Linked DNA regions of Saccharomyces cerevisiae S288C. The gene in region 2 interacts genetically with the main gene of each other region. Each region holds a gene or a part of one and is shown on either strand. Other genes may lie near its edges.

The links. A genetic interaction does not mean that the proteins touch.
Region 1: mutations in MKS1 (region 2) and RMD1 together harm fitness more than expected from each alone (negative genetic interaction), as found in Saccharomyces cerevisiae (2 studies listed by BioGRID).

Annotation. Positions count from the first base shown.
Region 1 is NC_001136.10:445,141-451,460, reverse strand, and holds RMD1 (Rmd1p), read right to left. Parts: upstream 3,478-6,320; coding exon 2,185-3,477; downstream 1-2,184. Other genes in the region: alpha,alpha-trehalase NTH1, read left to right, coding at 1-1,241; NHP10 (Nhp10p), read left to right, coding at 3,883-4,494; MCD1 (kleisin alpha), read right to left, coding at 5,078-6,320. UniProt on the Saccharomyces cerevisiae protein: Required for sporulation where it is believed to have a role in meiotic nuclear division.
Region 2 is NC_001146.8:480,439-487,294, reverse strand, and holds MKS1 (Mks1p), read right to left. Parts: upstream 3,740-6,856; coding exon 1,985-3,739; downstream 1-1,984. Other genes in the region: MLF3 (Mlf3p), read left to right, coding at 1-529; snoRNA-binding rRNA-processing protein IMP4, read right to left, coding at 816-1,688; APJ1 (Apj1p), read right to left, coding at 4,318-5,904; NIS1 (Nis1p), read right to left, coding at 6,304-6,856. UniProt on the Saccharomyces cerevisiae protein: Negative regulator of Ras-cAMP pathway. Involved in transcriptional regulation of galactose-inducible genes.

The DNA.
Region 1 (6,320 bases), on a different chromosome or scaffold from region 2:
ATCACTATGGAAAAATATTGAATGCTAACAGAAGCTACTATCTATGTAGATCACAGCCCCCATTCTTGACTGAAATGGCCTTGGTAGTATTCAAAAAACTTGGTGGTAGGAGTAATCCCGATGCTGTGGATTTGTTGAAAAGAGCTTTCCAAGCAAGCATAAAAGAGTACAAAACTGTTTGGACCGCATCTCCAAGGCTTGATCCCGAAACAGGCTTATCCAGGTACCATCCTAACGGTCTCGGTATTCCTCCGGAAACTGAAAGTGATCACTTCGATACCGTTTTACTACCATATGCATCGAAACACGGCGTTACCTTAGACGAATTTAAGCAACTTTATAACGATGGTAAGATAAAGGAGCCTAAATTGGATGAGTTTTTTCTTCATGACCGTGGCGTTAGAGAATCTGGACACGACACTACATATAGGTTTGAGGGCGTATGTGCCTACCTGGCCACTATTGACCTGAATTCTCTTCTTTACAAATACGAGATTGATATTGCAGACTTCATAAAGGAATTCTGCGACGACAAATATGAAGATCCTTTAGACCATTCTATAACAACTTCAGCTATGTGGAAAGAAATGGCCAAAATCAGACAAGAAAAGATTACCAAATATATGTGGGATGACGAGTCGGGGTTTTTCTTTGACTACAACACAAAAATCAAGCACAGAACGTCATACGAATCCGCAACTACATTCTGGGCATTATGGGCTGGACTTGCCACGAAGGAGCAAGCACAGAAAATGGTGGAGAAAGCACTACCCAAGTTAGAGATGCTTGGAGGTTTAGCTGCATGTACGGAGCGTTCTCGAGGCCCAATTTCTATTTCGAGACCAATTAGACAATGGGACTATCCATTTGGTTGGGCACCCCATCAAATTCTTGCTTGGGAAGGCCTCCGTTCTTATGGTTATTTAACTGTAACGAATAGGCTAGCTTATAGATGGCTTTTCATGATGACAAAGGCTTTTGTCGATTATAATGGTATTGTGGTTGAAAAATATGATGTCACAAGAGGAACAGATCCTCATCGTGTTGAAGCAGAATACGGTAATCAAGGTGCTGACTTTAAAGGGGCAGCTACTGAAGGTTTTGGATGGGTCAATGCCAGTTACATTCTTGGTTTGAAGTATATGAACAGTCACGCAAGAAGAGCGCTTGGTGCTTGCATTCCACCAATATCATTCTTTAGCAGTTTAAGGCCTCAAGAAAGAAACCTCTATGGACTATAGTTGAGATAATATATATATATATATATATATACTCCAGGTACAGTCCTCTAGGTACCTAAATCCTCTTTATATGATCTGCCGATAGATAGTTCTAAGTCATTGAGGTTCATCAACAATTGGATTTTCTGTTTACTCGACTTCAGGTAATGAAATGAGATGATACTTGCTTATCTCATAGTTAACTGGCATAAATTTTAGTATAGGTTAACTCTAAGAGGTGATACTTATTTACTGTAAAACTGTGACGATAAAACCGGAAGGAAGAATAAGAAAACTCGAACTGATCTATAATGCCTATTTTCTGTAAAGAGTTTAAGCTATGAAAGCCTCGGCATTTTGGCCGCTCCTAGGTAGTGCTTTTTTTCCAAGGACAAAACAGTTTCTTTTTCTTGAGCAGGTTTTATGTTTCGGTAATCATAAACAATAAATAAATTATTTCATTTATGTTTAAAAATAAAAAATAAAAAAGTATTTTAAATTTTTAAAAAAGTTGATTATAAGCATGTGACCTTTTGCAAGCAATTAAATTTTGCAATTTGTGATTTAGGCAAAAGTTACTATTTCTGGCTCGTGTAATATATGTATGCTAATGTGAACTTTTACAAAGTCGATATGGACTTAGTCAAAAGAAATTTTCTTAAAAATATATAGCACTAGCCAATTTAGCACTTCTTTATGAGATATATTATAGACTTTATTAAGCCAGATTTGTGTATTATATGTATTTACCCGGCGAATCATGGACATACATTCTGAAATAGGTAATATTCTCTATGGTGAGACAGCATAGATAACCTAGGATACAAGTTAAAAGCTAGTACTGTTTTGCAGTAATTTTTTTCTTTTTTATAAGAATGTTACCACCTAAATAAGTTATAAAGTCAATAGTTAAGTTTGATATTTGATTGTAAAATACCGTAATATATTTGCATGATCAAAAGGCTCAATGTTGACTAGCCAGCATGTCAACCACTATATTGATCACCGATATTAGGACTTCCACACCAACTAGTAATATGACAATAAATTCAAGATATTCTTCATGAGAATGGCCCAGCTGTTCCTTCAACATTTGAAGAAGATCTGAAATGACCTCGAGTCTTTGATTTAAAAGTGAAACGCGCTGATTGATCTCTAAGTAACCTCTTGTTGCTTGGTATATGGGTTCTAACTGTGGTTCTGACCACATAATTTCTGGAGAGTCTAAAACTGATCCATGTAGATTGATATTTATCCTCAAAATGAATAGCTCCCCTATACTTTTCATTATATCTTCTTTGCTCATAGAAACTTTACCGCTGTATGCAATTTCTTGTGGTATATCCTGAGTATCTTCAATAGTATTATCCACAAGCTCTTCGAAAAGTGAAATTTTTACGCTTTGAGCAATTGCATGAGAGATAGAGAGTTTTACCATGTAATTTGAACCATCTCTCAAGGTAATAAAATCGTTATATATTCTTGGTTGATAACTTTTTGTGACATAATAATTGAACTCTTCAACTTGAATATCTTCTTCCGCCAATTTTTCTTTTTCGAACTTTTCTATATCGTTTAAGAAAGCTTTTTCTTCTCTTTCAGTAAACCCCCACATAACGACAACACCATATTCAAAGATAAACAGATCTGGGTGCTTGTCACTAACAATAATTTCACCGCCCTCATCATCCAACCTAATCACATCTTCATCCTCAAATCTTTTGTCGCCCCTCCAATCGTTGTAAATGAAGGGAGTGTACAAGCATTCATCAAACAATTTAGGATGAGTATGATGTAGCTTTCGACAGTCCTTTAACCACCTTACCAGCTCTTTCATATTGTAACTGCTAGCAGTACAATATGCAGTTGACCTGGGGAGTAAATGTCTGTGAGCTTTTCCCAACTTTTCAGCATCCCTTCTAGCAGGCTTATCTTTTATCCTGTTTACCTGAGAATATACTTCCTGATTCTTTAAATCAGTAAGTCTTTCGCTATCTCTTTGGAATGGTTCTTCTGGCAAAAGTTTTAGTTTCTGTGCTGTGCGTGATGTTCTTTGAGCGCCCGATCCTGTACGACTTTGTTTACTTGTCGGGTTGATCATGGCACTTCCTGTATACGATGCTCTAGACTTTCTTGTATCTTGTGGGGTAGGTAAGTACTTTTTTTGGACCAGTGATGGCCTACTGTTATTTGATGTTTGGATGTCATTATGAAGTAATGCATGGCGTTCCGGTTGATCATCATTACTATCTACCATGACTAATTGAATATTAAATGTATTTAAAATGCTAATTTAAGCTGAGTAGTAGTTGGACAGATTTGTTTAGCCGCAGTTACGGTGATAGTCGGCAAAGGAATAATTTTACGGTTACTTGATATATTTTCGTGCTAAGAAATCTTGTGCACGAAAGCGGACAAGGTATTGTCAGCAGTTTTTCGCCCTAAATCGCATTATCAAACAGAAAAAACAAGAATACACCAGTAAAGCAAAAGGAGCCGACGGTTCTCCATTTTCCTTAGAAAAAAGATTTTCTTCTGAGAAAGGAAGGATTTCAATTAAAATATAAGGAAATGATTACCACGCACATATATATTAAATCGTTCTAGGGGCTAGAATTGGATGAGAAGCAGCCAGGATATAGGTAATAGTAACACATAAGAAATGTCAGTTGAAGAAAAAAAGCGCAGACTTGAAGAATTGAAAGATCAGAATGTGGTGCTTGGACTTGCAATCCAAAGGTCACGACTTTCGGTGAAAAGACTCAAATTAGAATACGGTGTTTTACTGGAGAGGTTGGAATCCAGGATAGAACTTGATCCTGAGTTAAACTGTGAGGATCCATTGCCGACTCTGGCCTCCTTCAAACAGGAACTATTGACGAAGCCATTTCGAAAATCTAAAACTAAAAGACACAAAGTAAAGGAAAGAGATCCGAATATGCCCAAGAGGCCCACAAATGCATACTTATTGTACTGTGAAATGAATAAGGAAAGGATTAGGCAGAATGGCTCTCTGGACGTGACAAGAGATCTGGCAGAAGGTTGGAAAAATCTTAACGAACAAGATAGGAAACCGTACTATAAGCTTTATAGTGAGGACAGAGAAAGATACCAGATGGAAATGGAAATATATAATAAAAAGATATCTAATATAGATGCGGATGATGATAAAGAAGAGAATGAACAGAAGATAAAAAATAACGAGGAAGGATCATCTACAAAAGTAGCTGATTCTAAAGGAGGTGAAGATGGAAGTTTAGTTTCCTCTAACTAAAAATTAAAAATTCCATTTTTTTCTATTTTCTTTGAAGATATCGTAAGACGTTCTAGGCGCTTTATCCAGAAATTGTTCAACTTTATTGTTTTGTATATTAGATAAAAAGTTGAGCCTTTAAAAACTGCATAATGTTTCCTCTGGCTGCTAATGTACCAAAGCTAATGGAAAAGAAGATTGTTTGGCCTGGAAAACTTTCTAGACGTGGCTTTATTACCAGGGTTGTGTAAGATTATGTAAGATGGTCAGTATGTAGCACTTACAATGGACCTTTCTTCTATTCCCAAGGTTTCCATGAGAAAATTTCGGCTTCACCGGTGTACGTGGGCAGACGATTCCTAATATCACTATTCAAAATAATACAGCAAGTTTTAGAATAAATACTACCCATGCACCAGCGTGTAGAGTTGCCAAGATCATTCTGCCTTGCGGCCAGTAGTGGCTCTACCGCATTAGTTTGAATTTTATCGTATTTTGTGAATATTAATATTAAATATTGACAATTTTATAAATTAAAGTCTTTGATCTATATATGCATCAGCTTATTGGGTCCACCAAGAAATCCCCTCGGCGTAACTAGGTTTTAAGCATTGATAAACCTTTCAAATAGTGCAGGTTTGGCGTCTATTTTAATATTTCCGAATGCTTCTGTTTGACTCAAACCAATACATCCTTCTGTAGCAAGTGATAAAATATCGAAAAATCCTCTACTGGCTTCTCTTTTAGTAATATTTTCTGGTTCTGTATTTGCTTGACTTTTTAGTACATCCGTGAATATTACTTCTTTTTCTTCGCTTAATTCCTTCCTTAAAATCTTCGCCATTTGAACAATAGCTTTAGAAGCCACCTCACCGGGAGTAGGACGAACTTTTTCAGTTTGGATGGTAGTTTGCTCATTTCTAGTCTTTGCGTCGATGATATTCTCTTCAGGAAAAGGAGCCTCATTTAAGCCAGCATCAATTGGTACGAAGTCTGACATGTTATCGGTCAGTTCATTGAAGGAGTTATCGTTTGTTCCCGCATTACTAATTACATCGTCGGTAAGATTAAGCGACACGTTTAACTCAGGTTCTTCAATTGACCCTTCTCGCCCATTATGTATTTTTCTTTTTTTTAGAGATTCGTAGGATAAGAAGTTCTTAAGGATTGGATCTGGTAAATAGGACATACTTTCAGTTATTTCACTCCATAATCTTTTAGTCGTAAAATTGGTGGGCTGTGGAGTCAATAAATTATTCGATCTCTCCTCTTTGTATGTATTGGATGAAGCTATGCTTTCTGAATTTTCTGTTTCTTCATCGATTTGAATACTTTTGGTATTCAGTAATTTTGAGTTCCTTCTTGTGCCAGTTTGTTTTGGCTGTGATTCTGTCATGGCATCGGTTATCGTATCTATATTGCCTGCGGGTGCTTCTTTTTCTATATCCAGATCAAATCCAAAATCCGTAGGCTCCTCAGACATGATTGATTCACCTAGCCTTCTTCCTTGCTCAACAGAGTTATCGTCATCATCGTTGTTCTGGTCATTTTTTTCGGTAATCCCTAGATCCCAACCAATAGTTCCAGCATCATCAAGAGGGAAATCGTCATCTTGTATGTAATTTTCGTGCGTATCAAAGTTGCGTGAGCTTTGTCTTGTTCCTTCTTCCCAAGATTTTGAAGTTATCGGACCTTCCTCGATGTCAAAATCAAGGTTCATACTAGACAAATTATTATGTTCGAAATCTTCATCTGGACTGAATCGTCTACCGACCTCAAGTGAAGTATCCCAGGGAGCAGCACCTTGGACTTTTCTTTCCATCGAATTCTCCTGCGCCATTAAGCCC
Region 2 (6,856 bases):
GACATTTTCCAACCCCTTCATCAAAACTACAGAATTACCAGCTACTTCGCCTTATGTATCTCCGCAGCAATCTGCGAGACAATATTCAAATAATGCTAATAACAATGCAAAATCCCCAAAAAACCGGTCATCTTCGATACTATTTCAAAGACAATCCATTTTATCAAACGTTGACCCTGTTGCAAACATGCACAAGAATCCCAAGTTCCAAATAGAATCAAGTGACAGCGAAGAAGAAGATTTAACCATGGACATGCTAGATCCTTCCTTTCCGTTAAGTTCGTCTTTGCGTTCAAGTGCAAACTTGGCAAGTAATCCCGAATTAGCAACCCAGACGCCTTTATCGACATCTTCGTCATATACAGCAATAGGCAAGCCCATGCCTTTATCAACAGATCCTTCTTACGTGTCTTCTTCTAATACGTTATCCTCCGAACATGAGTTAAGAGTTGAAAAAGTCAGTGAAGTGCTTAAGAAAAAAGTTTCAAATGGTGGATTTTCAACTGAATTTAATAGTTGTGATACATAAATTTCCTTTCTGCACCTCTTCCCTTCGTTCGTTTTGTTCTTTTAAATTTATGTCTTCATATGGTTATTTTTTTTATGTAGATACTCTCACAGATACATTGATAAACAATTAAGAAAAAAAAAAAACGCAAAAATAAAAATAAATCATGTGTTATGCTATCTCTTCTTTTCTCTTATATTCCCTCTAAGACGCTTTTTTTTTTTTTTTTTTTTTAAGAATACCATATTAGACTTACATAAGGCCTCATCGGCCTTCTATTTTAACCTTTACAAATCTATAAAAAAATTCACAAATAGTCTTTTTTATTGGCAGTCCTTATGAATCTTCTCAACTGCCACTCAACATCAGCGTCCTTATTTTCTAAAGTTCCCAACCTCAGTTCAAACAACCTCATCTCAAATCTAGGACCAACTTCGGCAATCTCTACTCCCTCTCTTGTTCTCACATATACATGCTGTCTAACGCTAATGAAATCACCCCTATTCGCAAAAGTGATTACTCTTTCGGAATCTTTTTTGGGCCCCGCATTGAACAAGTGCTTTAAAATACAGACTACTCTTTTCCCTAAAGCGGTAGTAAAGTTATCAAATATTAGATGTGGATTCACTTCGCTTTGGTTACCAGCATTTATAATATCATGTCTCATAACAACATTGTGTAAACTAAACTGTGCAGTGGGTCCATGTGGAAAATGTGATATGGTCAAAGAAGTTGGAACACCTCTATGTTCATGTAATACCACCAAATCTGTAGTACCGGATTTTTTACAAGCATCCACTAGATTTGGCATCACATAATTACCTCTGTTCAGCCTGACAGCATTTGGAAATAGCAGTTTAATTTCTTTGGCAAATTGCGAGAGACGAGTGCTTGGGTCACGAGATGTTGTGACGATGATTCTTGGATCCATTATACCACTTGTGGCAGCATATTCATCATCAACCTGTAGATCATCTGCTTCTTCGCTCTCCTTTAAACTTTGGTCATATCTGAAATCCTTTTGTAAACTCTCATCTTCTGCTAGTTCCTTTGGCAATGGCTTCCCCTGAGCTAGCGCTTGTTTAATTATTTGACGTTTTTGTTGCAGTTGAGAATCTTGTAATTCTTGCGCTTTTCTGTATAGATATTCTCTCCTTTCACGGGCTTGTCTTCTTAGCATTTCGATTTAACTGTTTTATTATTTATGGGAACACTTGAATCAATGATAAAACCGAGTATATATGCCCTTTCAAGTCCAACCTCATGCAATCAATATATACGCTACTTCATGCATTTTCATCTCATCGCATTTCCGGGATAAAATTTTTTATATTTTTCAGTACACAATATCCGTTACCCGAAGTGAATAGTGTGTCATTAGAAGGAACTCTTTCACTGCGTAGATAGTAAAATATATGACATTATCTTTTTTTGAAAGAACTTTAAATACTGTATCTGATTTATTTAACTTAGTAATCATATTCGCCCTCCATTACTCGTCTTACGCCCCAGTGCTTCCGTTCTCTGATTAGAGGTGTCATCATTACCATTTCCATTACTGTTTGCAATACTCGTATTGTCAAGCCGTGATATTGTACGTACCATCTTTTCTTCCTCAGAGATCTCCATTCTGGTCTTCAAAAACCCAGTATTCCTGTTCTTGGATGGGATATCCATCGACTGCCGCCTCGAAAAACGATGTCGCGTATTACTACCAGTGGCAATCGCCATTCGTTGTTGGTGAATGTTATTTGGCAAAAACATGTGAGTAGATAAGGCGGTGGGCAGTATAGTTTGAGCAGTTAGCGGAGCATTAGATTCATATAAATGATTGGACTCATTATCAGTTTTGAAGTCCTTTTGTATATCCATCGATAACCGCTCATTGTTGGATGGTTGCGGGGGAGATAGCGATGCTAGAGCTGTCACGTTGCTTGTTTTCAAAGAAGGTTTTTGTTGTTTTATACCATTAGCGCTCGGTGGATTTTGCTGCGGTTGAGGACCGATATTACTATGAGAGGACTGAGGAGTCGGCGAAACGTGTTTAGAAGCGTATTCACTATGTGCAGTATTGTGGTTATTACTGTTGCTATTTGCCTCACTAAGGAATAGTCCACTGAGTAAACTTTTTCGTACGGGATCATGGGATGTGTTTGAGTTGATTGTGTTCGCTGATGAAACAGATGATTTCGTTGAGTCAAGATTCTGTTGATTTTTGGCAAATAAAAGCTTGTCCCATTGTCTTCTATAGTACTGATCTGCTTCTTCCTCATTATAATCATCGTACTCTTCATCATCTTCATCAGCGTAGAATTCTGAATCATTCGAAACGCTGTCCCAATCGGAATCTTCATCTTCACTGCTGAAAAATATCTTGTTTTTTCCTTTTCTAGAGGATGTTTTCGAAAGTGACAGTTGACCATTTTGGTCATTCTTGTAAGACCTTGGCCTTCCGAATAAAGATTCCTTCTGAGGAAAAGAGGATTTTCTACTTCCCATATTTTCAAGAGTAGGACTGGTACTCTTGGAAGTCTCATTATCAATGCAGTTCATGTTCATGTCTCCTATATGCTGGAAAGGTGATCTTGAGCGTCTTGATTGTAAAGGTTTCTTGGTTATAACAGTGCTTGTATCAAAACCAGTGATAATAGTTTGTGGTTCTTCCTTATTAGCAACATGGTTCACATTTTTCATTTTTTGATATTTGTCTGCAAAATTTGAAAACAACCCTGACGTAGTAGATTTGGAGAATTGTCTGTTTGGAGCAACGTCATTTTTCACATCATTGTTTGTAGAATTAGGATTATCCAAGGATCTATCGTGAGCACCCTGTGCGATAGCTGGTGATGTCATTGGCCGAGTTAAAACGTTCTGTTTTGCCGTTGTGGGAGGCAAATTGGCCTTTTGTAATGGTGGCTGCTTTACTGCTGCCTGCTTTGGCTTTATTGGCTGTTTGTTGTTTGGATTTAACACATAATATATGTTCTTCACGCCGTCTCTTTTTTTAGATCGATTAATATTATGCTCCTTTAGAACAGCTTTATTCAGAATTCTCCAACTTATATTGTGCAGCCTTTCTCCCTGCTCGACACATTTGGATGCTTTTATTAACGTAAGATATAGTTCGACATCATCAAATAAATTCAATCGCTCTGGGGTAAATAAATTAGGTGTGACTTTTAAAAACTTGTTAGTACCTATATTCGGTACATCAAATGCCTCCCGCGACATCAGTTCTTTTTTTTTATTAGGATTAGAGAATAATTAGGAAGTGTTGCTTAAGTAAATGAGATGGAACTAAGGGGTAGTTCTCTTTTTTCTTGAGGGTTGTGCTCTGTTCGTTTTCACGCAATAGTACAGTATATGTTTCTCCTTTTGTTCAGATCATTCAAATAAAAAGCAAAAAGGAAAGAAAATGAACACTTGGGTTAAAGATCCCTACTGCTGAAACCAAAACGATATTTTGATGAACTTAGAAATATGATCAGTGGTGAACTTCCCTTGCTTCTCTGTAACAACGGCATGCACATTCTAATCGGTTTTTTTTTTTGCTTTTCTGTTAAGTAACCTCCCACGATCTCTTGGCAGGCACTAAGAAAAAGATGAATAACAATGTATTACACGCTAAAAAAACTGCTAAAGGACTAGGGCTGCAATGATATTACCACCCAAACCGCGGTAAACCATCCACAGGAAGAATAGCGTATCTTTCCGCATTGCTTAAAAAAAGGAATGTCCTTATAGATAGAGTACTGATACAAAAAATAAAAATAGAAAATGTATAACATTACTGCATGACTATATAACCTTCAATATCCATTAATATCATGGTCATAAAAACCGCTTACCGGTGAAGAATATTTATTTCGTTTCGTTTCATTATTATTATTAATATTACTTTCGTCGAATCGACGGTTGTTCCTTTTCCGAGAATCTCTTTCATTAATCAAATCACCAAGGTCGTCGTCTTCAATAACTTCATTGTTTAAATTAGGGGCCTCAAAGCTACTTAACACATGCTCTTCCACACTGTCATATGACTTCTCCAAATCGCAATAGCAGTCTGAATCTGCGGTTTCCATGGTGGAACGTTCTGCTTTAATGTATTTATCATTAGCCAGAATATTTTGTATTTTCTTAGCATTTTCAGGTTCCAGTCTCTCTGGATACGTCACATCGAATTTGACATATAGATGACCGAAACCGCTCCGAACACCGTTGATAAACTTGGGCATCCCCATGTCCTCAACAGTCTTGAAACAACCAGGCTTCAGTATCTCGCCAGGTATAATATCAAGTTTGATCAACTTACCGCTAGGGTGCCCTTCAATATAAACTACGCCTCCACATAAACTGGTCATGAAGTCGATTTTGCACTTCTTACATATCAAATTGGAGTAGTTGATAACCTGGAAATTCGGATCTTTTAAACGTAAAATGGTGATAACGACGTCACCAGGTATTACCTTTTCGTGACCGCCTCCCTTAGTACTAATAACTTCGTCACCTTCGCCCGTAAGTACTATAAGTTGGTTATGACACGATCCCGGTTGAACGGTGACTTGTAGAATCTTCCTCTCCTTAATGAAGCCAAGACCTTGGCACTGTTGGCAAATATCTTTATTTTTGACAAAAACCCCGGCACCCCCGCAATCTGCACAAGTTTGAGACCAACTTTGTACTAGAGGTCCCATACGCCTAGTTTGGGTTTGAATACCTTGCCCTTTGCATGTTTTACAAGTGCATTTCTTTAGACCACCGTGCCCATCACAAACACTGCAAATCCTTGTCCTATTCAAACCCAACTTTGCAGTCTTACCCATGTAGAGTTCCTTCAATGTGCACTTTAGATTATGTTTGATATCAGGGCCTCTATCCAAATGATGGTCCTCATCGTTGGAGTTGTATTTTGCTGACGAGGAGTACAGATTGTTCACGCCACTGCCATTAACAAAGGAGAAGCTCGGCGTAGAGCTATTATTGAAGCTAAAATTAAAACTGCTTTTGGAGCCATTAGAAGAGGGGGTAGCAGAACTATTAAAAAACTGCGCGAAAAGATCACCTGGAGATAGATCCGGGAATGACATTGCTTCCGTATCGAAATTTGAGGATGAACTGAACGGCCCGGCTTGTTGGCGTTGCGCCTGCGCCTGCTGCTCTTGAATCAGGACTTCATCTGTGGTACCGTACTGGTCATACAAAGCTCTTAAACGATTGTCTTTAAGTATTTCGTATGCCTGGCATATCTCTTGAAACTTTCGCTTGGATTCTTCTGTATGATTGTTTTTATCAGGATGATATTTTAATGCAGCGTTCCTGTAAGCTTTCTTAATCTCAGATGTGGATGCAGCGGCAGTAACGTTCAAAGAGTCATATAAAGACGTGTTTTGTTGCATTCTCCGTTATCTTGTGTCCACTGGTAGCAAAAGAAAAATGTGTTTTACTTTATCGTAGGTACAGTACGGCTCGTGTTGTTTAGAGAAATAATCACTGTATCGTGAGGTTGGTTTATTACCGATATAAACTGTTTGATGAATGTTGAATACTATTATAATCTATTCCTATCAGTATATAAAAGCGTTCAAACGATTTCACATACTTGTGGGAACGAAGAACGCGTCATTACCTTTTTAGTCTACAGATTCGATGCTCCAGTCATTTTTTTCCTTTATTTTCCGTAATGTTCTAGAAGAAATCGAGCGGGGGAAAAAGATACATAGAAGGATAATGTGATTAAATAAAGTTTGATGTCTAAGGCTATGCAATGGCTATGCAATCCAGGGGGGGTTACCTACTTAAAAGGGGTCGCTACTAAGTATACTATCGTCTTGACTGTCGGGTATAATTATAGGATTGCTTTTGGTCTCACCTGCCATCTGGAAGAGACTTGAAGGAGTAGATAAAAGGGACATGTCTAAGTCGCTGGCGTTAGAAGAGCAGACAGAGCTTTCATTCGATGCTGAACCCGGAGAGCAAAGCAAAGTCAGGCGCAGTTGCGTCCTCTGTGTTATAACCAGCATTAAGTATTCTCTCCACAGTTCCAACAGCAGTTGCTCCTTTCTTGCATGCGATTTGGTGTTCAATTTTCCTCTTCTTTTTGGGTGGTACAACACACTAGGGGAAGTATTGGACCGCCCCACATTCTTGTTATAAACAGATCTTGTGGTTGGGGTCGTTGAATTCTGTTTAATTGTTTTCGTCGCCGTCGCAGGCATAGTCGTCGGGAGACTACCTGGTTGTGATTTGGGTAGTTTCCTACTTATGGAGCGGTTCCTTAGATACGGTGGACGACTACTGGTTGCATACATCTGGCTTCTTAAAAATGGGATAGGAGTTACCGCAGGGTCC